2 linked regions of the Diceros bicornis minor genome follow. The protein of the gene in region 2 purifies or fractionates together with the protein of the main gene of each other region. This does not show direct contact. Links are inferred from orthologs where the notes say so. Each region holds a gene or a part of one and is shown on either strand. Other genes may lie near its edges.

Region 1 (11,336 bases), on a different chromosome or scaffold from region 2:
AAGTTTGGGCTCTAAACAGAGGCTGACATCGCCATGGATTTATGCCGTGGACCTTCCTGTACCTTCCCTATTTTCCGTGGATGAAGCCTCTGACACAAACACCTCATCCAGTTTTTAAGCTACTCTTTCATGGAGCCTGTAGCAGCAACTGGGGTGATTTGCTCTCCACTAATCCCTAACTAAGTAGGGATCTCTACTAATTCTCTGTTCTGGGCAAGGAAACTAATCTCTGTAATATGGAAGGACCCAAATTCCTGCATCCCTTCTTTAATATTCACCTTCGAAGAGTCTCCTAGGGTCCTCTCTCTCGTGAGTGGATGATAGATTCTTGTCCTGTGTGCTACCCTTCCAAGTCTGAGGGGATAATTCTACAAGCCTATGGGAAGAATTAGACGGGACCCCTCTCATGGCCACCCGGCCTTCTTTTGCCACAGGTAGGGGCTGAGGGAAAGAGCTATCTAGGCTGGAGGTTGAATTTCTTGAGATAACCTCTTCTCTCTGACCTGCTTGGGGGCTTCTTCCAAGGAGCTTTGCAACATTGGCCATGGAATTAGTCCTTAAAACATGGGTAACTGAAGGGGGAAAGATGGACTTGGGAAGTGTAAGTCAAGTGAGGAGCTAGTGTTGAAAGACAAAGTCAGGAGTAGGTTCAAGTATCTTGGCATGCTCCATGGGTTGAAGGTAAAAGGCAAGTGGTGGGATAAAAAGGATCCTTGAATATTGTGGGATCTAATGATAAAAAGGGATTTGGAGGGAAAGAGGCACCCACTGGTGGTGGTGATAACAGGGAAAGTGAGGGGGTAGCATGGTCCAGTGGGCAGGTAAAAAAAGGCCAGAGTGAGCAATGACTCAGTGGATCCCAAAGATGACAAAGAGAGCAGAATCTTCCCCATGTCCCCCAGAAAAGAATGTCTGCTTCCATGGTTGCTATAACTGCCCCAGAAAAGTACCCTCAAAAGAGAACTGGTACAGGTCCCTGCAGGAGACAAGAGGTTCCAAGTGCATCCGGGAGCAGACTGGGGACAGGTCAGGGTGCCACACAGCCCTTTACTGAGATGACCATCCTTGTCTAGACTGTCCTCAGTTTCTACACTTTTGTAGAACTAGCATCTCTGCTGTGAGAATAGTGTGATAAATGAGCTCTCTGACCAGTTGTCCACACTCCCTCTAAGGAGTCTTCAGATATTATTTATCTGCATGGACAAAGATAACCCATTCGCCTGATGCAGCTAGTGTGATCCGAAACCCATTTTCCCAACTGTTCCATGGTCTCAATATATTCTTAAGCCACTATAATACATGTCTTCTAGATGTTTTTCTCCTAATCACAAGGTTCTGTGTTTCACTCACAGTACCATACTTTTCTTTTAATTTGGGGAATCTACCCAAAAACAGACTTGATGCAAGGACAACCAGAGGTCTCTGTGTTTTAATTAGGGGCTATCACGGTGAACACCAGGAAACAGCCGTCAGAACCATTCATTGATATTATTCTGAAATGAATCAGGTAAAGTCCTCTCCTTCACGGGACTCTCATCTTCCAGGGACAGGACAGAACAGGACCATGCCCTTAATCCTAATAGAGGGTAATTAGTGCTCTAGAAGCAGCTGTGGAGCAGGCTCTAGGCATTCAGCATTGTGAGTTAAGAACTCTGCCTAGGAATCAGGGTTCAGTGAAGATGTGATAATTAGCTGGGCTTTTCACAAGGGGGTGATTAGGAAATTTCCAGGCAGACATGGAGTAGGACTGTTCCCTTTGACTACTGTGTCAGAGGGAGAAAGGGATGTTGCAATCCTTATGCAAAGTTATGATAAGCATATTTCCCTAATTATAAAGTCAAGAGATCTGTTATAAAAAATGAATTTGTGAAACTGGGAATTTACTATTAACAGAAATTTAATGTACCATCAAATATGAGATTGTACTCAAAATACCTTTGCAGTTTTTACCCTCAGATTTTCAGGCTCTGCCTACCTACCTGGCAGACAGTCTGTGGAGTGGGAGCCCTGAGTCTGCTCTGCAGGTTGGAGGAAGGAAACGCATTTTGGCTTCTTTTTCTCTCACCGTAGCTGCCCCTGGCCTAAAGGCGCCACGCCCTGCCTGAAAATGAAGACTCGTTCTCTTTGTAACGAAGACGATGGCAAGAGACTTATGCCAATATTAGGGTCAATTCCTGCCAGGAAAGAGCCCCTTATCAGCTCTGGAGTAAAATTCCAGAGGAATTTCTGGAGGTAGAAAGGAGCACATCTATGCAGACCAGAAGCCTGCCCTCCAGACTTGGTCTCTGGCCCTGTCACACTTGGTCAGCAGGGGCCTCTTTTCCTGTGACAGCTTTATTAGCCCACAGTCACTGGATCCTACTTTCTGCTTCCTTTGAACTACATGGGCTGCCCTCACTGTTCAAAAGTATTCAACATAAAAGAGGGATACTTCTCTTACATATGTTTCAACAAAATCTGGAAATATCGTTCAACTATTATTCTCTACTTATGTCCATCTGGGAAAGCTTTAGGCCAGAAACCACAACAGAACAGGAAGCAGTTGTATTAAAAGGGCAGTGCAAGTAAACGGAGTGAAGGAGGAGGGTTCCTGGTAACTTCTACACTGAAGAAGAAGGAAACTGTTGTGACATGGAAGTAATAGATCCAGGAAAGCTGGGAGAGGTGCCAGTAGAAGTGTGCAGGTGCCAAAATGGGCAAAAGAATACAATGTCTTTCCCATTCCTGTCTAGGAGCTTCCTCCCAATTTCAGATATTGATTTAAGCCACTGTGCTGACTGAATATAGGTCAAACATATCTTTGATATGATGCATACCTGTTTTTCAGTCTTCAAGGTTCTTGCCAGAATTCAGCTGACTTTGGTCAGTCAGCTATCAAGAGTGAGATGGTACAATTTCAAACCAGTTTATAGAAAAAGACATGTAATATTCTCATATAGGTTTATATGGAGAAAATGAAGACAATGGCTATCACTTATTAAATGTTAACTCCGAGGAAGGAACGATCCTAAATGCTTTAAAATGTACTTACATCAGCTCTACAAATATTTTTTACTCCATATTCCATTTAAGAAAAATGAAACTCAGGGAAGTTGAGTTGCCTCTGGGCAGAATGTGGGTTCCATGCAGAATCCCACATAGTGAGTTATGGTTGATTCTTTAAGTTACATGTTGGGTTTCTGTTTTGTTTTGTTTTTATCTATTACTTGCAGAATTATGATTTCTCTTTTTCACTGTACTTCTCTTTTTGATGGCTACATTTGTACTTTCTGATGATTTTAATATATTTTTGCTCTTTCCCTTAGATTTTTGTGGAAGAGAAATTCTCCAATCCAATTTCATTTTTCCATTTGATGAAGGAAGTTTCTCAAAATTTTACATTCATTGCAGTATGGTCATTTCTGAGTCCACAAAATTTCATGATTTTTATAAAGCCAACGCTGACCTCTGTAGAACAATTCAAACGTTAATCAGGAAAGATCATCAAGCAATAATATCAAAGAATAGAGCAGGAAAAATTCTTACATACCTAGCCTTACCATCTTTACATACCAGCTTACATACCAGCTTCACCACAAATCAACTGTATTTATAAAACAGCAACAATATAAACATGGTGACAGTAAGGAAAGTTAGGTGACCAGAGTAATAAAGAAAATAATCCCAGAAATTGTGGTATTATCAGTAATAAGTAATTTTGGAATTAAGGGTATCTTAGATGTTAATAAGGAAGAAAAGTAGTTTCAGTAAATGGTAACAGGATAAATACCTGGCAATCTAGACACAAATCAATTTAGATTCTTGTCTCATAGATGAAGATAAAATCCTAATAGAATATAGAAATAAATGTAAAAGATATAAAATATAAAAGGGAACTGATCATTCATAAGATCGATAGAGGAATGAGAATGGGAGAGGACTGGTCCTACATGTTCAACATTCTGGCACAGGAGAAAATACTTAAAAATGAGCTGTTATTTGTCAACATAAAATTGACAAAGAGTTGCATCATAGGAATACAGCTGCCATCTGCATAGAAAGGTTTATGTCTACTTTTAAGAATTAAAGATATATAAAACATCATTCATAAGGACAATACAAAAGTAGTTAATATAAAATAAAACCCAAATAAAGAGAACTAAAAATAGCAAACAAAGCAAAAGAAAAAACTCTCTAGCCCACTAGTATTTTAAAACAGTTGAACAATGATGCTTGACATTTTAGCCTATTAAATAAGCAGTTATTTAAAAGAAATAAAATATCGATTTTATATGCTTTGTGCCACTACATCCATTTCTTGAAATCTGTCTCCCCAAAAAAATGTTTGTAAAAGGTTAAAAAAATTAGGTCCAATAATATTAACACACATTTTTTCTTCAGGTCCTACCCTATTTCTCTTCTCTTTACAGATAAACTTCTCAAAAGAACTTTCTATCCACTCTGTCTCCAACACCTTTCCTCTTATTTAACCTTAGTCAATATACTCCAGTCTGGATTCTATGGAATTAATTCTGCCAAAACAGCCCTCATTTTCCCTGAATACAAGACATTGGCTTTTAAACACATTTCTTTCCTTAAATATCTTCTCATCACCATTCTCTCCTGCTTGTCCTCCTATTGTGCTGCCATTAAATTCCAGCGCCCTTTTCAGGCTCCTCATTCTCTTCCCTGCATTCAAATGTGAAGGTCCCTAAGGTTCAGTTTCTGGTCATCTTCCTAGTCTCTACTCTCTTTCTAAAAGAACTCATTCATTCTCTGGCCTTCAGGGACCAGGTAGACCCCAGCTCCCAAGTTAACACTTCTAGCCTTGACCCTCTGTAAATTCTAGAACTGTATGTCCAACTGTCAAAGTTGAGAGTCTGCATCCTCCAGTTTCTGGTGATAGGAGCTACTTTTCTTTTGCCTATGGTGTTAGCATATAATGTAGTTGAAATTAATTAATTGATCAATATTTTTATGTTTTCTTCCAGCAAAAAGGAAAGTTTCAAGAAGGCTGGCACTTTTCTTTCATCACCTTTTTATCCTGTGAAGGCAGTCATAGAACCTGTAATTTAGATACTCAAGTGTTACATATAGCTTGAATGAAATCAATGAATGAATGAACTGTACCTCCATACTTCACTTGAGGTTGCAATATCAGTCTTGGCATTGATTTATTAAAAATATTGAAATACAATAAATATAGCAAAATAGTTAAGTACATAAGTACATTAATAGGGTCACCTATGTTGGGCTGGTGCCCTCTTTGAACTGGATGCTTTAACTTATAGTTGCTTAATACTATCAACAAATGTTGTGACAAACTTTGTTCAATTTATTTCATGATGAAGGCAGAAAAAACAGTCTTTTGAAATGACTAAACATGTGGGAGTATGATGAATTGTATCTCTCCATAAGAATTGTTTCATTAAGATTATAGGTCTGGTTCCTTAGCTCTTAACATTCCCTGCAAGCTTGACAATAAAGAGAAGGATCTCATGATTTCCTGCTCTAACAACTTCCCAGGTACAGCAGTTCTATTCTTTCTTTTCCATATAGAAACTGATTCCTTGGAAATACCTCTTCATGGCCAGTATGGAGTCCTTCCATCCTCAATTCCTGCACCAAGCAGGTCTCAAGGACTTCCCAATGCTGATAAAGTCCAGGGAAGAACTTCTCCAGGCCAGTCTCATTCCAACCATCCTTTTATGCTGAACAGGTTGAAGATCTGCTGAAGCATCTGGTGGAGGACAGCAGTGGTCTGAGCCTTCTGGACCTTGCTGCTATCCACCAAAAACAACTGAAAACAATTGGAACCAGCTAACTGTCCATCAGTAGGGGCCTGGTTAAATAATTTATGACACACCCATTCAATGGGAAACAATACAACTGCTTAAAAAGATAAAGAAGTTCTCTATGCATTGAAGATCTCCAAGTGAAAAAAGATAGGTGCAGAACAGTGAGTGGGGCATGCCATCTTTTATATAAAAATAGAGAGAGTGTAATAAAAGAATATAGCTATATTCTTATTAGTTTGCATATGTGTAAAGAAACCGGAAGGATTTAAAAGACAGTAATAACTTCAAACTGTGAAAAATGTTGGAAAAAATTGTGTCAAAGTATACATTTATTCATGTGCCAAAATTTAAATTTACTGGTAATTAAAGAAATACAAGTTAATAAAATATCCACAAAGGGAAAGATCAGTAGAGGGGAAATGCACACTCAAACATTGCTGGTGGCAATATTTGGAAACAAATTTTTATGTCTTGAATCACTATTTTACCCTTAGGATTTATAGAGAAACAAGGGAAAGGTTTGTGCCCAGATTCTATAGGTTTATTAAGATTCTATAAAACAATGGGAGACAAGAAGGTATGTTCAAGAACATACAATGTTCTTGTATGTTGAACAATGTTTGTTCAAGAACAAACAATGGGGAAAGAAAACTACAGTATGTTTAGTTATTGGACAATTGTGTACTCATTTAAAAATTTGTGAGTGGAAAACAAAAGTATGAAAAAATTATCGATGTTGGAATTCCACTGAGAGGCAAAAATTCAGGCTATATTATCTACATAGCATGGTCACAATTTGGTATTTTAAGAGAGACAAATGATATGTATTTTAAATAATGAAAAATTTGAAAATATGAACCAAAGTTACAATTGAGGTGTCTATTACTTTGTGTGGGATAAGAATTATAAAGTTTTTAATAGAGGAAAATTTTCATGCAACTTCCCCTTATGCCGTCATCTGCCATATTTCCTTTCAATTTCTACAAAAGCCGCATTTTATTGTTATTCAAAATACAGAAGCCAGTACGCATAAATCTTAAAGAAAAAGTACGCATTTGTGGGGAGAGCTCAGATGCCGTGAAGAGTTGACAGCAAACGTGCAGCATAATATACGGGCACCCCTTCCGGGCCTATTGAATCCCACAGACAAAGCGACCCGCTGAGGCTCCGCTCGCGCCCACCCCCATCCTCACCCTTCCAGAGCCCTGCGCCCTTCCTCCCCAGCCCCCACACGCCCGCCCACTGACAGGTCGGGCGGCCGCGCAGGCGCAGTAGCTGCCGCGGCCGCTCCTAGCCCGGGGGATCCTGGGACTCGGCCTTTCCGGAAGGACCGGCTCGGCGTCTGGGTCTAGGCCCGTGTTCCAGGCCCAGATCCAGGCCCAGGCCCGTGTTCCAGGCCCTTGCTCCAAGACAGACCCGTAGCCGCGGCGACGCTCTCGTGACAGCGGAGGGCGCAGCGGGCCGCTCGCTGAGGTGCCCGGCCTCGCCGCCGAGCGAGCCGCGGAGCCACAGTACGTGGCGGCGCTCCCCTCGGCTCGGAGAGGAACTGCTGGAGGAGCGGCGGCGCAGGCCTGACCAGCTGAACCGGGTCACTTAACTGGCTTCAGGTGATGAATCATCTGCATAATAGTGAGATTTGAGGTCCACAGCGCTTTGTGGTCCTGCGCCAGAGCGGTTTTCAGTGGATGACTGATTGGTGTGTTCCGAGGGGTGCCGCAGTGATTGCTTGCCCTTGCTAAGGAAAGCGAGCTCTCCTGCTCTTTGGACATCCTCGTTTCCTAAAGCATTCAGGTTGTGACCTCTGTCTCCGGCATACGTCTTTGTGCAAGAGGAAGGCTTTCACATGAAAGTGTCTCTTGGTAGCGGCGAGATGGGCGTTTCTGCCCATTTACAGCCTTGCAAAGCAGGAACCACGCGTTTCTTTACCAGCAATACTCACAGTTCCGTGGTATTGCAAGGCTTTGATCAGCTCAGAATAGAAGGATTGCTTTGTGATGTGACCCTGGTACCAGGTGATGGAGATGAAATCTTCCCTGTTCACAGAGCTATGATGGCATCTGCTAGTGATTATTTCAAGGCTATGTTCACAGGGGGAATGAAAGAACAAGATTTAATGTGCATTAAGCTTCATGGGGTGAACAAGGTTGGTCTGAAGAAAATAATTGATTTTATTTATACTGCAAAACTTTCTCTTAATATGGACAATCTTCAGGACACACTTGAAGCTGCCAGCTTTTTACAAATTTTACCTGTTTTGGACTTCTGTAAAGTGTTTCTTATTTCAGGAGTCTCTCTAGATAACTGTGTTGAAGTTGGGCGAATTGCTAACACCTATAATCTTATAGAAGTGGATAAATATGTCAATAATTTCATCCTGAAGAATTTTCCTGCATTATTGAGTACTGGGGAGTTTCTAAAACTCCCTTTTGAACGGCTTGCCTTTGTGCTTTCCAGTAATAGTCTTAAGCACTGTACTGAACTTGAGCTCTTCAAGGCTGCCTGTCGCTGGCTAAGGTTGGAAGACCCTCGGATGGATTATGCTGCAAAATTAATGAAGAATATTCGATTTCCACTGATGACACCACAGGACCTCATCAATTATGTGCAGACAGTAGATTTCATGAGAACAGATAATACCTGTGTGAATTTGCTTTTGGAAGCTAGCAATTACCAAATGATGCCATATATGCAACCAGTGATGCAGTCAGATAGAACTGCTATTCGATCTGACTCGACACACTTGGTTACATTAGGAGGAGTTTTGAGACAGCAGCTGGTTGTCAGTAAAGAATTACGGATGTATGATGAAAGGGCACAAGAGTGGAGATCTTTAGCCCCCATGGATGCTCCTCGTTATCAGCATGGCATTGCTGTCATTGGAAACTTTCTTTATGTAGTTGGTGGTCAAAGTAATTATGATACAAAAGGAAAAACTGCTGTTGACACGGTTTTCAGATTTGATCCTCGGTATAATAAATGGATGCAGGTTGCATCATTAAATGAAAAGCGCACATTCTTCCACTTGAGTGCCCTCAAAGGACATTTGTATGCTGTTGGTGGGCGAAGTGCAGCTGGTGAACTGGCTACAGTAGAATGTTACAACCCAAGAATGAATGAGTGGAGTTATGTTGCAAAAATGAGTGAACCCCACTATGGCCATGCTGGAACAGTGTATGGAGGCTTAATGTATATTTCAGGAGGAATTACTCATGACACTTTCCAAAATGAGCTCATGTGTTTTGACCCAGATACAGACAAATGGACACAGAAAGCTCCAATGACTACAGTCAGAGGCCTGCATTGCATGTGTACAGTTGGAGACAAGCTCTATGTCATTGGTGGCAATCACTTCAGAGGAACAAGTGATTATGATGATGTTCTAAGCTGTGAATACTATTCACCAACCCTTGACCAGTGGACACCAATTGCTGCTATGTTAAGAGGTCAAAGTGATGTTGGAGTTGCTGTCTTTGAAAATAAAATCTATGTTATAGGTGGATATTCTTGGAATAATCGTTGTATGGTAGAAATTGTCCAGAAATATGACCCAGAAAAGGATGAGTGGCATAAAGTTTTTGACCTTCCAGAGTCACTTGGTGGCATTCGAGCTTGTACTCTCACAGTTTTTCCACCTGAAGAAAACCCTGGGTCACCTTCTAGAGAATCACCTCTTTCAGCACCTTCAGATCATTCTTAGGAATAAGGTGTAATACCTTTGCAGTGCATCATGGATGATCTCTTTCCCCTTCAGCTGTATCTTCTTAACAGTGATTGGTAGTTATTAGATAAAAAGGTAACTGATGTTATTTGTGTTGTTTGGCTTAATGTGTTTATCAATGGTTAACAAATGTGTTCTGAAAATGTATTCAACATAGCCAACTGTTTTAACAAATGTAAAAAGATATGTAGAAAAATGTTCAAGTTAGATGTCTTTTTGTGGTGTTGTGTAAGTCAAATTGTAGATGATTGTAGTAAATGTATAATTATGTTCATTATGCTTCAAAGTTGAAAGTTTTCATCTTTGACCGCAAAACATCAAAGGGAGGCTGTGTGCTCTAACCTAAAAGAATAAACAAAAGATCACCAAGCGTTATTAGCTACCTCCCTTTTTTCATAGAGTTTTTGCCATAGCTCCCAACTCACCAGATTGTGTGAGTGCATTCAGATAATGTGAAGTTTCTTAGACAGACAGGAGAAACAATAAATTCAGAAATATTAACTAGAAAAAACAGCATAGCCCTAAGTCAGGGTTTAGTATCTCTTTGGAGAGAGGGACAGGGAGAGAGAAAATATAAACAAACACACATATACATACATACATATGTATATATGTACATACACATATACATGTATAATTATTAAGTTGATTGGCTCTTCAGCTATAGTAGAATTGGTTTTAAATTTAAATTATTTTCTTTCATATAGCAGCTATTTCTATTTAAATGGGAATTCAGTACCAGAGAATAAATGTCTATATAGTCATAATTGAATTGAGATAGATAAGGGCTACAGCATATTAAATTCACAACCAAATTTGTCATTTGACTAAATTGTTACTTCAGATGAAATGTCTACTACTTTTTCTGCTTGTATATTATTTTCTGTAGAGTTGCTTTTATACAGGTTATTTAGCAAAGTTTAGGTTTCCGAGAATTGTTTTGCTCAGTAAATTTAGGCTCTGCTATTTTCCACCTTTTTCTTTGGTAAAACTTATGATATGAAAAAAGCAAAGAAAGAAATGTGCTGAACAAAGCTATAGGATTGTAAGTTCAGTCTCCCAACTTAGTCATCCTAACGTGATTATTTGATCTGGTGGGGTTGCCGTGGTGCTGCACCACCCCATGTGGGTCCTGAGCTTTATGTGACCTGCCTCGAGCCTATGATCTGAGCAAGCAGGTGATATGCTCTTGTCTGCATCAAATCAGAAGAATGTCCTTACGGCTATGTCTAAAGGACAGGACCAACTTCAGATTCCCTAAGAAGCCAGCTACAGAAAGCCTAGGACACTGCTGTCTTGCAGGCAGTACTAAATGAGATTTTCAGCCTCTTCAATACCTAGGGCATCTCTAATGGTTGAGAACCACATGGGGAGATCTTAATGGGACCTTAGCAAATGGAATCATAGGAGTCCTCTGTAGTGATTCTAAAGAAAAGCTTTCCTGGAATAAATTGTCTACCTGAAGAAAAATTTACATATATATATTTACATACCTATATATGTATATCCCTATACTTGGGAGATTGTCATAGTGTAAGTCAGGAACAACCTCGTTATTGACAATCCCATAATAAAACTCAGGAACCAAGACAGAAGGAATTGGCTTCCAGAGATCTGACCCTTATTGCCCATACGAGTGTTGATTGATTAAATGCTTTTTGTGATTTCTGCCTTGGCAGAAATTTTCATACTTTCTGTGTTTTTTTAATGACTCACTTTTTTATTACTAAAAATAGCACATTTGAGTACATCTAGAAAATAGAAAAAGTAGAAATTACTGTTAACCTTGTGCATTGAATAAGCAAGAAATGCCATTCTAATAATTTCCTCAATTATTAATA
Region 2 (10,999 bases):
GCAAGCTGCTACTAGTAATCAGACTTGGGAGTGGAGCAAACAGCTTTGGAGCATCAACATTTAGTTATTATACTGATACCACAAATTGTTGACATGGAGAATTGTGGCTTGCCATTTTTGAGTCACTAAAAGTAATTTTAACTATCTGGCCTTTGTTTGTTGTGAGCAAGTACATAACTACTTTAAAGTTATATAACAAGAAACCCAAATGTTACTAAACTTAGGAGGAAAAACATGAAATTGGATAGGGAAACACATGTAACCTCTTTTTTTCTAAAAGCCCTGTTTTACTAGTTGAAAATGAGAAAATATCAATTATAATATAGGCTATAACTGGGCACAGAATTGAGGAGATATAAATAGTAGAACATCTTTGTGTTGTATTAATTTCATTTAAGTGGAGGAAAATATAAGTGAATCTTAAGCGAAAAAAAAACATAACCTCCTACCTTTGCCTCAATTATCCCATTAATTTATATAAAAGTGGGAGAATAACAAATTCTCTGTATTAACTCCTGGTTGTTTCCTTTCATGAACTTGAATTAACCCTTGGAGAGTAATCGATTGTTTTGCTTTCTCCTGTTAAACTACATCAAGTCTCGGTTTCCACAGGACTGTGTTTGGTGGTTGAATACACTTTCTATTCCCGCAACAACATATTATAACAAATGCAGTGATTTAAAACACCTATTTGTTATTTCATAGTTCTGTATGTTAGAAGTCCTGGCAGGGGCACACTGGATTCTCTGCTCAGATTCTCACCAGGCTGAAATCAAGATGTCAGCAGAGCTGCACTCCCTTCTCTAGTTTGAGGTCTTCTTTCAAGCTAATGTATTTGTTGGCAGAATTCAGAATTCTGTAGGACTGAGGGCCAGCCTTCTTGTTGGCCATCAGCCAGGGGCTACTCTCAGTTCCTAGAGGCCACTTGCCTTTTCCTGCCACGTAGCTCTCTCCACAACATGGGCGTTTGCTTCTTCAAGGCCAACGGTAAAGCATCTGCTGGTGCTTTGAATCTCCGACTTCTCCTTTACTCTGACTTCTAGACCTTCTTTTAGAGGGTTCACCCGGGATAATCTTGCTTTAAAATTCAACTGATTAGCGACTTCAGGTGTTTGTGATTTGAGAGTAAACAAAGTAGGGCTTAATTCTGATGGAAGTGATAATCAACTAATAGTGAAACACCTAACTGCAGACAGGGGTAACTGCTGTGAAGGAAATGAACAGGGAGGTGTGACAGAGTAACTAGGGAACAGCTTTTGTGACAGGAGGTGATATCTGGGCTGAGACCTAGAAGATGAGCATGAATCAGTCTTTAGAAGAGTTGAGGGAAGAATACTCCAGGCAGCGGCTGAACTTTTATATTGTGTCTGAAACAAACTATTCAAGAGTACAGATCTGCCTTCTGAAGGGAACTCTCTGAAAGCTTGTTGTCTTCTCTATTATCTTTGGCTTTCACTATTTTGGTAAAAACACAATTCAATTAGAGATTAAATTTATTGAACACCTGGGGTGTTGCATGCTTTCTGGATGCATAAACCAACATCTTCTGACCCTAGAGAGTGTCCTAGGCCATCCATTGCACCTACTACAATCAGTGGGAGCCATGGCAGGTTAACTGCGCTCTACTTATATCATTGGTGCTACAGGATGTTTTAGCTATTTATAACCACCTTCGTTACCCAACTGCAACCATTAAAGCCTTTTTTTTTTTTTTCCAGTGAGTAAGATCAGCCCTGAGCTAACATCCATACCAATCCTCCTCTTTTTGCTGAGGAAGACTGGCCCTCGGCTAACATGAGTGCCCACCTTTCTCCACTTTATACGGGACGCCGCTACAGCGTGGCCTGAAAAGCGGTGCCTTGGTGCACGCCTGGGATCCGAACCTGGGCCGCCAGCAGCCGAGTGCCGCGCACTTAACCGCTAAGCCACGGGGCCGACCCCCATTAAAGCCTTTTATACATGAGTGTCTTTTTATAGGCAAATGTGAATTTCAAAGTGAGTATATTCTGTGTTGGCAAAGAAGAAAGAAAAGTTTTCTTTTAAACTGTTTTTCAACATTTTAAATTTATTTACTGGCTTTCAGTGTGAATGTCACTACGTCGTAACATGTCTACCCCAGGTTTGAATTTTATTCAAATACGAAAATATTTTATATTACAGAATCCATTATTTCACAAGTTATATGCTGAAATAAGTCATATGAATACACAAGTTGCTATTCCTGACTATCCATTTCCCCCTCCTCTTGAGTTCATAAATAAGTTACTAAATCCTGAGAATCCTGAGAAACATATCAAATGTTTCTCAGTCCCACCCCTACTTCATTATCCCCACCATGATTGCCTTAGTTCAGGCTTTTAAGGCCTCTCCATTGACCCTTTGAACAATCTTACCTAGTTTTCCTGCTAAGAGCCTCGTCCTTCTCTAGTCCATCTTCTATACAGTTGCCAGATTATGTTCCTAAAAACTGAACAAACTCCCTGTCCTCATGGGCTTACATTCTAGTGGAAGAGACTGAATAAAGTAAAAGAATGACAATAAACACGTGATAATGAGGTATAAAGAAAATAAAAATGAGGTAAGAGGAAAGGGTAAAGGAAGAAGTAATTTGTTTTATTGAGATATAATTGACATACAGCACTGTATAAGTTTACAGTGCACAGCATAAGGAGGGGGTAATTTTGGATAGGGTGGTAACATTTGATTATAACAAATGTTCATGCACTCCAGAAGCCAAAGACCAGCAGGAACACACCCATAATCAAAGCGAGTTGGGTTTATTGACTTGTCACAAGGAGGCAGATAGCACACCATGAGGAACTATGGAAAGCCTCAGGAAGAAGGTGTTGTAAAAGACTTATTACAGGATTGGGCTTGTGTTAGGTGATTTTGGGAAGAGTCAAGGCTTTGGTTTAGATTGGACGCTGTCAGGAAGCAGAGGTAATTCTATGATTGGATATTTTAATAATTGTTATCTAGAAGGTAGGAAGAATGGAGCAAGGCTAAGGTTGTAATTGGTCAAGAAACAGAAGTCACTTATATTAGCCAGAATGGTCATTTTTGTGGTTTGGAGAATGTTCTGGCATTTGCTGTGTTCAGACATGATTATGGAGGTCTTATTTCTGTCTTGTCTATTACGGTCACAGAGTGGCCATGTCTGACGTTGACGTTTTGTGAGATCTGTTTATGTTCAAATAGAACACTCAGACCTACCTGAGAACGTCGGTAACACCAAAGAGTAGCTAACAGTTCCAGGCCAGCTCCTGGATGATCAGGCTGCTTTTCTTTTTCCCACTAACAAAGCCATAAAGTGCTATAATTGTCTCTAAATTGCAATTTATAACTTTTATTCATAATTCTGTTTCCTGAATATTTACAATGTTTATCATTATTATTTAGGGTAATGAGCTCTAAAACTCATTACAGCTCTGCTGACGACACGAGTAGCTTTCTTAATCATTACTAAAATATACAGGATCCTCTGCTACATGCTGTTGTAAAGAGAAAAACAGCCACCTGCTTGCGGCTGAATGGCTCGGGAATCGGATTTAAGAACTACTGCTGTGAATTTCGGAAACCACTTAAAAAGTCTCAGAGTCACTTGCCTCATCTCTGAAAACAAAAAGTTGGAGTTATACTATATGTGCAGTTCTGATAGGGTTGCATGGTGCCAGGCTGTCTGTGTAGTAATCACATGGTGAGCTTGTTAAAATCTGGTAGAGCTTCTAGGGCCCCAACTCCAGAGTGTGATTCAGCTTCACTTTTTGAAATTCCTACACATTGTTGTCTTTAAAAAAAAAAAAAATTGCTGAGTAGTATTCCATCGAATGAGTATACCAGTTTATTTATCCAATCTCCTACTGATGGACATCTGGTCTGTTTATAGATTTAGGTGATCATGAATAAAGCTGCTATTTTTGAACAAGTCTTTTTGTGGATGTATGCTTTTATTTTTTTAGATAAATACCTATAAGTGAAATTGCTAGGCCATAGTGTGTGTTTAACTTATATGAAACTAATGGGTCCACAATTCTGACATAGAGAAAGTAATAAAAAGGTTTAGAACCCCTCCTTTTGCTCACAGTGTAGGCTGGTAGAGATGCCAAAGGATCGGTTATAACTCCTAACCTCCTGTCCTCACCTATGGAGCTGTGGGGCCCTGGAAGATCCCTTTATAGTCAGAGGGATGAAAGCTGTGTGGATAATATCTGTACATGAATGTAGTTTGGGCAGTGCATTTGATAGGGAGTAACAGGTATAAAAACCTCTACAAAGATTTGACAAATCTTTGCCTCTAGGTTTCTTGGAATTCCATCTCACTGTGATCAAGCTCAGAAAGGATCCCTGAATGTTGGCAGACCTAAAATAAAAGTCATTCCTGACAAGCCACTGTTAGCAAAGGTTCCTTGGTGTGTTTGGGTGAAGGCTGGGTGATGCTAGCCACTGTGGTGGGAAAATCACACAGGCTCAAACAATGGTCTCTAAGCCAATAGGCCTTGGATCTTGCAATAGTGCTTCCTTAGTCAGTTCTCTGAAGTTTTTAGTAGCTTTTTTAAACACCTGACACTTTCCTTCCACCCTTCAGCAGGTAACCAGGCTTCACATAAAGGAAAATAGAGACCATTTGAAAGAAACTCTTTCACTTTCTTGCCAGAAACATCTATCTATCTGTATCCATTGTTTATCTGTCCTTTCGTTATTCCTTCCAATTACAAAGAAGATGGTAGCCCTCGTAAGGTACTCACCAGTCCATCTTCTCAGGGGCCTTGTTGTATCATCTCTTCTCGTATCCCTATGTTTTCCTTTATACTGGCTCATTCCCATCTGTGTTTAAGCCTCTTCCAATTTCTCCCTTGGGAAAGCTAACCTCTCAACACCAGCCACCGCTTTGTTAAATTGCTCTCTCTCTCTGGTATCATAGTCAAACCTTCTAACGGGTTGTCTCCAAAGCCTATTTGCTCTCTCTCATCTGGGTCCCCAAGGTCCGCCTAGAACCGTCTATCTTATAGCAGGCACAGCACAATCATTCTTGAAATATATGATGGATGGATAGCTGGGATTCCGAGGGTGCAGACGAAAAAGTCATCTACAGCTTGTAGCCTGGGATGTTGGATGACTCACTGGGTTGAGAAACTGTTTATTTTTCTGATATGTATAGGCAATTTGATATATGCTTTCATTTTGAACTAAAGTTATGAAAAGTCAGTAGTCTGCCACAAGCAACAAGTACGAAAACAAGTCGGAGAAACACGGCAGTGCTGCACTACCAATAAGCCCCTCACGTAAGAACACAGGTCCGTCTCCTCCAAAGGCCACGCATCTGCCACTCCACCGGAGGCAGCCGGGACCCAGGGTGGCCTTCCGGCGGAACCGGCTTTACGGCTCCTTGGGAGCCTCGGTCTCCTAGACCGGGGGTGGGGGTTGAGGGGAAGAGCGAGCGGCTCCCGGCCAATGGCAGTTCTTGAACTTACACCTACAGACGTCAGCGCGGCTGTGCAAACGGATGTCACACAGCTGGCTCGGAAGCGTCTCCTCCCGCCCCACGAAAGGGGCGTGGGCCTAGCGGCCTCCGCGAAACCTTGGGCGACCGGAGGGAGGTGCGTGCGCCGCTCCCCGCGAGCCCCGCGCCCTCGCCGGCCCGCTTCTTCCCAGCAGTCCCTGCCTAGCGGCTGTCCCGGGTGAGCAGCCGGGCGCCCGCGCCCCCGCCCCGAGCGCGCCGCCGCCGCCGGCTCCGCCCCCTCCCCGCGCGGGCCGCGCGCTCCTGTGGTTTCGAGCTGTGTCGCGGGCGCGCGCGCCGCCGGCGGAGCCGCAGTTAAAATGGTCCGAGCGGGACCCCGCGTTCCCCCTGCCGCCGCACTGACTGACTGAGCCGGCGGGCCAGGCTCGGACTGGTCGCCTAGGCGGCAGGCTCGCTCCCTCTGTCGCGTCCCCAAAGCTCGCGCCCATCGTTCTCCCGGCTTCCCTGGGCAAAGCATGTAGCCCCCGTCGGGCGCCGGGGCGGCCCGCATCTGACGCCCACCCCCCACCGTCGCGCGTGTGCCCGTGGGTGCGCAGGGCGGGCGACCCCGCCGCGGGCCCGAGGCCGAGCCAGCGAGCGGCCTGCCCCGCTGCCGGGAGCCCGCCTCTCCGGGCCTCCCTACTTCCCCGTCCCGGTCCCTCTCCCCGGGGCCTTCTATATGGGCCACCTTCTCTCGAAGGAGCCGCGTAACCGCCCGAGCCAGAAGAGGCCTCGCTGTTGCAGCTGGTGCCGCCGCCGCCGTCCTCTCCTCAGGTTGCCCCGCCGGACCCCGGCCAAGGCGCCCCCTCAGCCGGCGGCGCCCCGGAGCCGGGACTGCTTCTTCCGCGGGCCTTGCATGCTCTGCTTCATCGTGCACAGCCCCGGCGCGCCCGCCCCCGCCGGCTCAGAGGAGGAGCCGCCGCTGTCGCCGCCGCCGCGGGACGGGGCCTACGCCGCGGCTGCCTCCTCACAGCACCTGGCGCGGTGCTACGCGGCCCTGGCTGCCGAGGACTGCGCCGCCGCCGCCCGCCGCTTCCTGCTTTCCTCGGCCGCCGCCGCCGCCGCTGCCGCCGCCTCGGCCTCGTCGCCCGCCTCCTGCTGCAAAGAGCTGGGGCTGGCTGCGGCTGCCGCCTGGGAGCAGCAGGGCCGGAGCCTTTTCTTGGCCAGCGTGGGGCCCGTGCGCTTCCTGGGGCCGCCCGCCGCCGTGCAGCTCTTCCGGGGGCCGACCCCGCCGCCAGCCGAGCCCCCCACGCCCCCCGAGATGGTGTGCAAGCGGAAGGGGGCCGGGGTCCCCGCCTGCACCCCCTGTAAGCAGCCCCGCTGCGGCGGTGGGGGCTGCGGCGGCGGCGGTGGCGGCGGCGGGGGAGGACCCGCCGGAGGAGGCGCCTCGCCGCCGCGGCCCCCCGACGCCGGCTGCTGCCAGGGTCCAGAGCAGCCGCCGCAGCCTCTCTGCCCCCCGCCCTCCTCTCCCACTTCCGAAGTTGCCCCCACAGAGGCCGGCGGGGACGCAGTCCGAGCGGGGGGCACCGCCCCCTCGCCTGCCCAGCAGCAGCATGAATGCGGCGACGCGGACTGTCAGGAGACCCCCGAAAACCCCTGTGACTGTCATAGGGAGGCGCCCCCTGAAACCCCAGACATCAATCAGCTGCCGCCATCCATCCTGCTCAAGGTGGGTCTGGGCGAGTGGCGCAGGGATGCGCGCTTTCCCTCAACCCCGGCCCCCCACCTCGGAGATTTTCTCTCTCCTCCCCCTGAGCGCAGAGGAGGGGGTTCCCTGACAGCCAGAGAGGTCCGAAGGGTAGATTGCAAAGCCAATGGGGAGGATGCTTATGGACTATTTTTTGAAGTAGAAAAACTTGGAGTCTACTGAATGTCTTTTAATAACTTGGGTCTATTAGGCACAATTCAGAGTTCATCTATCATTAGATTCCCAGCCCAGGGGTTTAGAAACTATTCGTAGGTGTTCTGTGAAATATTTTCATCAGTTGAGCAATTTTTACTTACTGGGTAAAGATTTTGTGTACATATTAGTGTTTGAAAGTCTTCAAACAGTACTTTGAGGTTTGGTAGTTGCTAGTTGATGTCAATAACAGCTAACTTTTACTGAGCGTTTACTATGATCAGGCACTGTGTCAGAGCTCTATATACATAATGTCTCATTCAATCCTCCAATTACCACTGTGAGATAAATATCGTAAACATCTTTACTTTATACAAGAAGAAACTGATATTTCAGTGCTATGTGCCTACAGTAGTCAGTCAGGCGGAAATTGTCTTTGCTCTTATGGAGCTTACAGTCTAGTGGAGCTTGAAGAGGTTGAATGACTTGTCCAAGGTCACACACAGAAAGTAGGGGGTAGATCTGGATCTTGAACTAGGGAATTTAGGCTTGCCTGACTTGAAAACCCTGTTGTTTGTGCTGTGTTGTATTGCCTTTCTACATTTTAACCCTTACATAAAAGCGTACAGATTACCAGAAGGTAACAACAGATGTATTTTTTGTTGGGGAATGGGCCAGTGGAGAAGAGGTGAGTGTCCTGTGGGAGCTTTGTCTCACATTGAACTACAAGTAAATTTTGCAGTTTTGTTGATGCTAGTGACAAACTTAATTATGTGGTAGAGTTTGTATTAAGTTATTATTAACAAGTTAGTTATTTTTCCTCATTTTCTCTCATCTCCCCCAACTCCCACCCCCCCCCACACCTTTCTGGAGCTTAATAAATATAAACCTCTTTTTTCAATGTGGATGATATTTAAGACTAGCCAAAAATAACCTAGATAAAAATTTGGCTACTTTTATTGTTATTGAAGTAACTGTCATCAATTCCATTTGTTAGTGTCATCAGTATACTTTCTTTGTTTGGTTAGACTTTTTGCCTATCTATAATCCTGTGATTTTTGGGTCTGTTTTATTGTGATATTAATGTTCTTGTGAATAATACAGCAAAAGAATGGGAAAGCTTAATTTTTCCTTGTGTCAGTAGGTAATGATTTAACTCTTATTGAGGTGTACTTGTTGGCGGAGTAATTGGTTTCTGTGTGTGTTCAGGATGTGCATTTTTAGGGCAGAAGGAACTTCCTTGAGTCTTTTAAATCAGTGGATGACATGGACAAATAAAATATCAACAAATATTTGGTATAGAGGTTTGATTGCTGTCTTGTTATTGGGCAAGTAAGACTGTTTAAAACCAAACCAAAACGGAAACCAGGTACTTTCTACCTAAATCATTATTTCATGAGGTAGAGAACGTTATAATATAAAAAGAAGAAAGGAGGAAGGACATGATCTCGTAATAAAGAGAATTGCTATAGAATAAATTTATTCTATCAGCTACATTGTTCTTTCTCGCATTTTTGCTGTGGACTTTTGAAAACTTGGTCTGAGGAACATATGAGAAATACCGGTTGGACTTGCCCTGTTGTGTCAGAGTATTTGCACATGTTATGTAGATTTCCATTCTTTGTATTAGAAGCTTGAATAAAGATTCTCTTGTGGGTCTCATGGTCCTAGTGGTTCAGCATGAAGTGAGTTGGATTGTTTGGAATGAATTGAAATCGAGGTTTTTCAGTGTTTACCAATCCAAGTAGAACTTTTAAGGATAAGCTTTTTGAGGACAGAGGCTCTATCGAAATAGATCTTGTTCATTGCTCTGTCCCCTCCCCTAAGTGCAGTGCCTGGTATTTAGTAGCATTCAGTAAATATTTATGAACGAAGGAATGACTAGGTGTTTAGGAAGTCTGGGCTGAGACTCTGGGTGCATATGTCATGCCGCTAAGAGAAGTCTCTAAGAAATGTTTATATCCTCCCTTGAGTTATTGTTGTTTTGAGCCATGATAGAGCTATGTGATGGTGAAAGGGTTGCGGCTCTATTTCTGGTGAGAACTGGAGATGTTTGGCTTGGAGAAAAGAAGACTTAAGGAGCTTTGACTTTTTTTTTTTTTTTTTTTTTACAGTATTAGAAGGGTTGTTGCATAAAGAGGCACAAATCCATTGGAAAACATTCTTAGAAAGTTTGGCCTGCTCCCCTGATAATGAGTCAATAGTCTTTATAATTGTATTGCTGCATTTTTGTACCAGAAATTACCATAGCTGTAAAAAAGAGTGTGCAGAGGAGGGAGAGTTTGGGAGAGAAATGGGAGAGAAAATTTTTTTTGTAAGTATTAAGTATTATTTGCTTTAAATTTAAATAATGCAGGTAAAGCAAAAATTTGCCTTGGTTCACCCCTACCCTCCCATCTAGTTTCCTCTCCAGAGGTAACTAACCACTGTTACCAGTTTAGATAGTTCTTCTAGACCTGACCTGTTGAGTACACTAGCTACATGTGGCTATTTAAATTTACAGTAGTTAAAATTAAATAAAATTTGGGGCTGGCCCAGTGGTGTAGTGGTTTAAGTTCCTGCTCTGCTTCAGGGGCCCGGGGGTTTGCAGGTTCAGATCCTGGGCACAGACCTAGGCACTGCTTTTGAAGCCGTGCTGTGGCAGGTGTCACACATAAAGTAGAGGAAGATGGGCAAGGATGTTAGCCCAGGGCCAGTCTTCCTCAGCGAAAAGAGGAGGATTGGCAGTGGATGTTAGCTCAGGGCTAATCTTCCTCACAAAAAAATAAATAAATAAAATTTTAAATTCAGTTTCTCAATCACAGTAGCCACATTTCAGAGATCAATAGTCACATGTGGCTGGCAGCTGCCCAACTGGACTGTGCAGATCCAGAACATTTCTATCATTGCAGAAAGCCCTAAGTTTTCATAGATTTTTTAATAAGTGTCATCAAAATGTGCATGTTCTGTAATTTTCTTTTTTTTTTTTTGGTTAACAGTATGGTTTGGAGGTGTGTCCTTATTAGTAAGTATATGATTTCCTTCATTCTTTTTAACTACTACATATACTATTATACCATACTCTATATATTTCTCTATTAATGGATGTTTCCAATTTATTGCTACTACAAACAATGCTAATAGATGTTTTCTATGCACAGGTGGTCATATTTTTCTTTTTTTTTTTTTAATTTTTATAATTTTATTCATTTTTTCCCCCAAAGCCCCAGCAGATAGTTGCATGTCATAGTTGCACATCCTTCTAGTTGCTGCATGTGGGACGTGGCCTCAGCATGGCCGGAGAAGCAGTGCGTCGGTGCGCACCCGGGATCCGAACCCGGGCCGCCAGCAGTGGAGCACAGGCACTTAACCGCTAAGCCACGGGGCCGGCCCCATGTGGTCATATTTTTCTAGGGTAGATTTCAAGAGGTGGAAATTCAGGGTTGAAAAATGTGTATTTTTAGAAATTTAGAAAGTCCGTTCTAATAATAAGAGCTGTGTAAAAATGGAATGAGTTCTTTCTGGAATTAGTGGGCCTCCCTGGAAATCATTATGTAACTTCAGAACAGGAAGAGACCTTTGAGGTCATCTGGTCACTTGCCACTTCTTATGCATGAAGAAGCAGGCCTGGAGAAGTGAAATGACTTATCCCAAGACGTTTTAGATAGTGAATGGCAGACCCT

Evidence for each region. The genes of interacting proteins can lie anywhere in the genome.
Region 1: the proteins of FBXL17 (region 2) and KLHL9 purify together in Homo sapiens (co-immunoprecipitation; 3 studies listed by BioGRID and IntAct, with this or other methods). This does not show direct contact. The link is inferred for Diceros bicornis minor from reciprocal best matches to the Homo sapiens genes FBXL17 and KLHL9.

Annotation. Positions count from the first base shown.
Region 1 is NC_080761.1:43,537,231-43,548,566, reverse strand, and holds the start of KLHL9 (kelch-like protein 9), read left to right. Parts: upstream 1-7,095; 5' UTR 7,096-7,620; coding exon 7,621-9,474; 3' UTR 9,475-11,336.
Region 2 is NC_080740.1:31,794,696-31,805,694, reverse strand, and holds the start of FBXL17 (F-box/LRR-repeat protein 17), read left to right. Parts: upstream 1-6,115; 5' UTR 6,116-6,176; coding exon 6,177-7,166; intron 7,167-10,999. UniProt on the Homo sapiens protein: Substrate-recognition component of the SCF(FBXL17) E3 ubiquitin ligase complex, a key component of a quality control pathway required to ensure functional dimerization of BTB domain-containing proteins (dimerization quality control, DQC).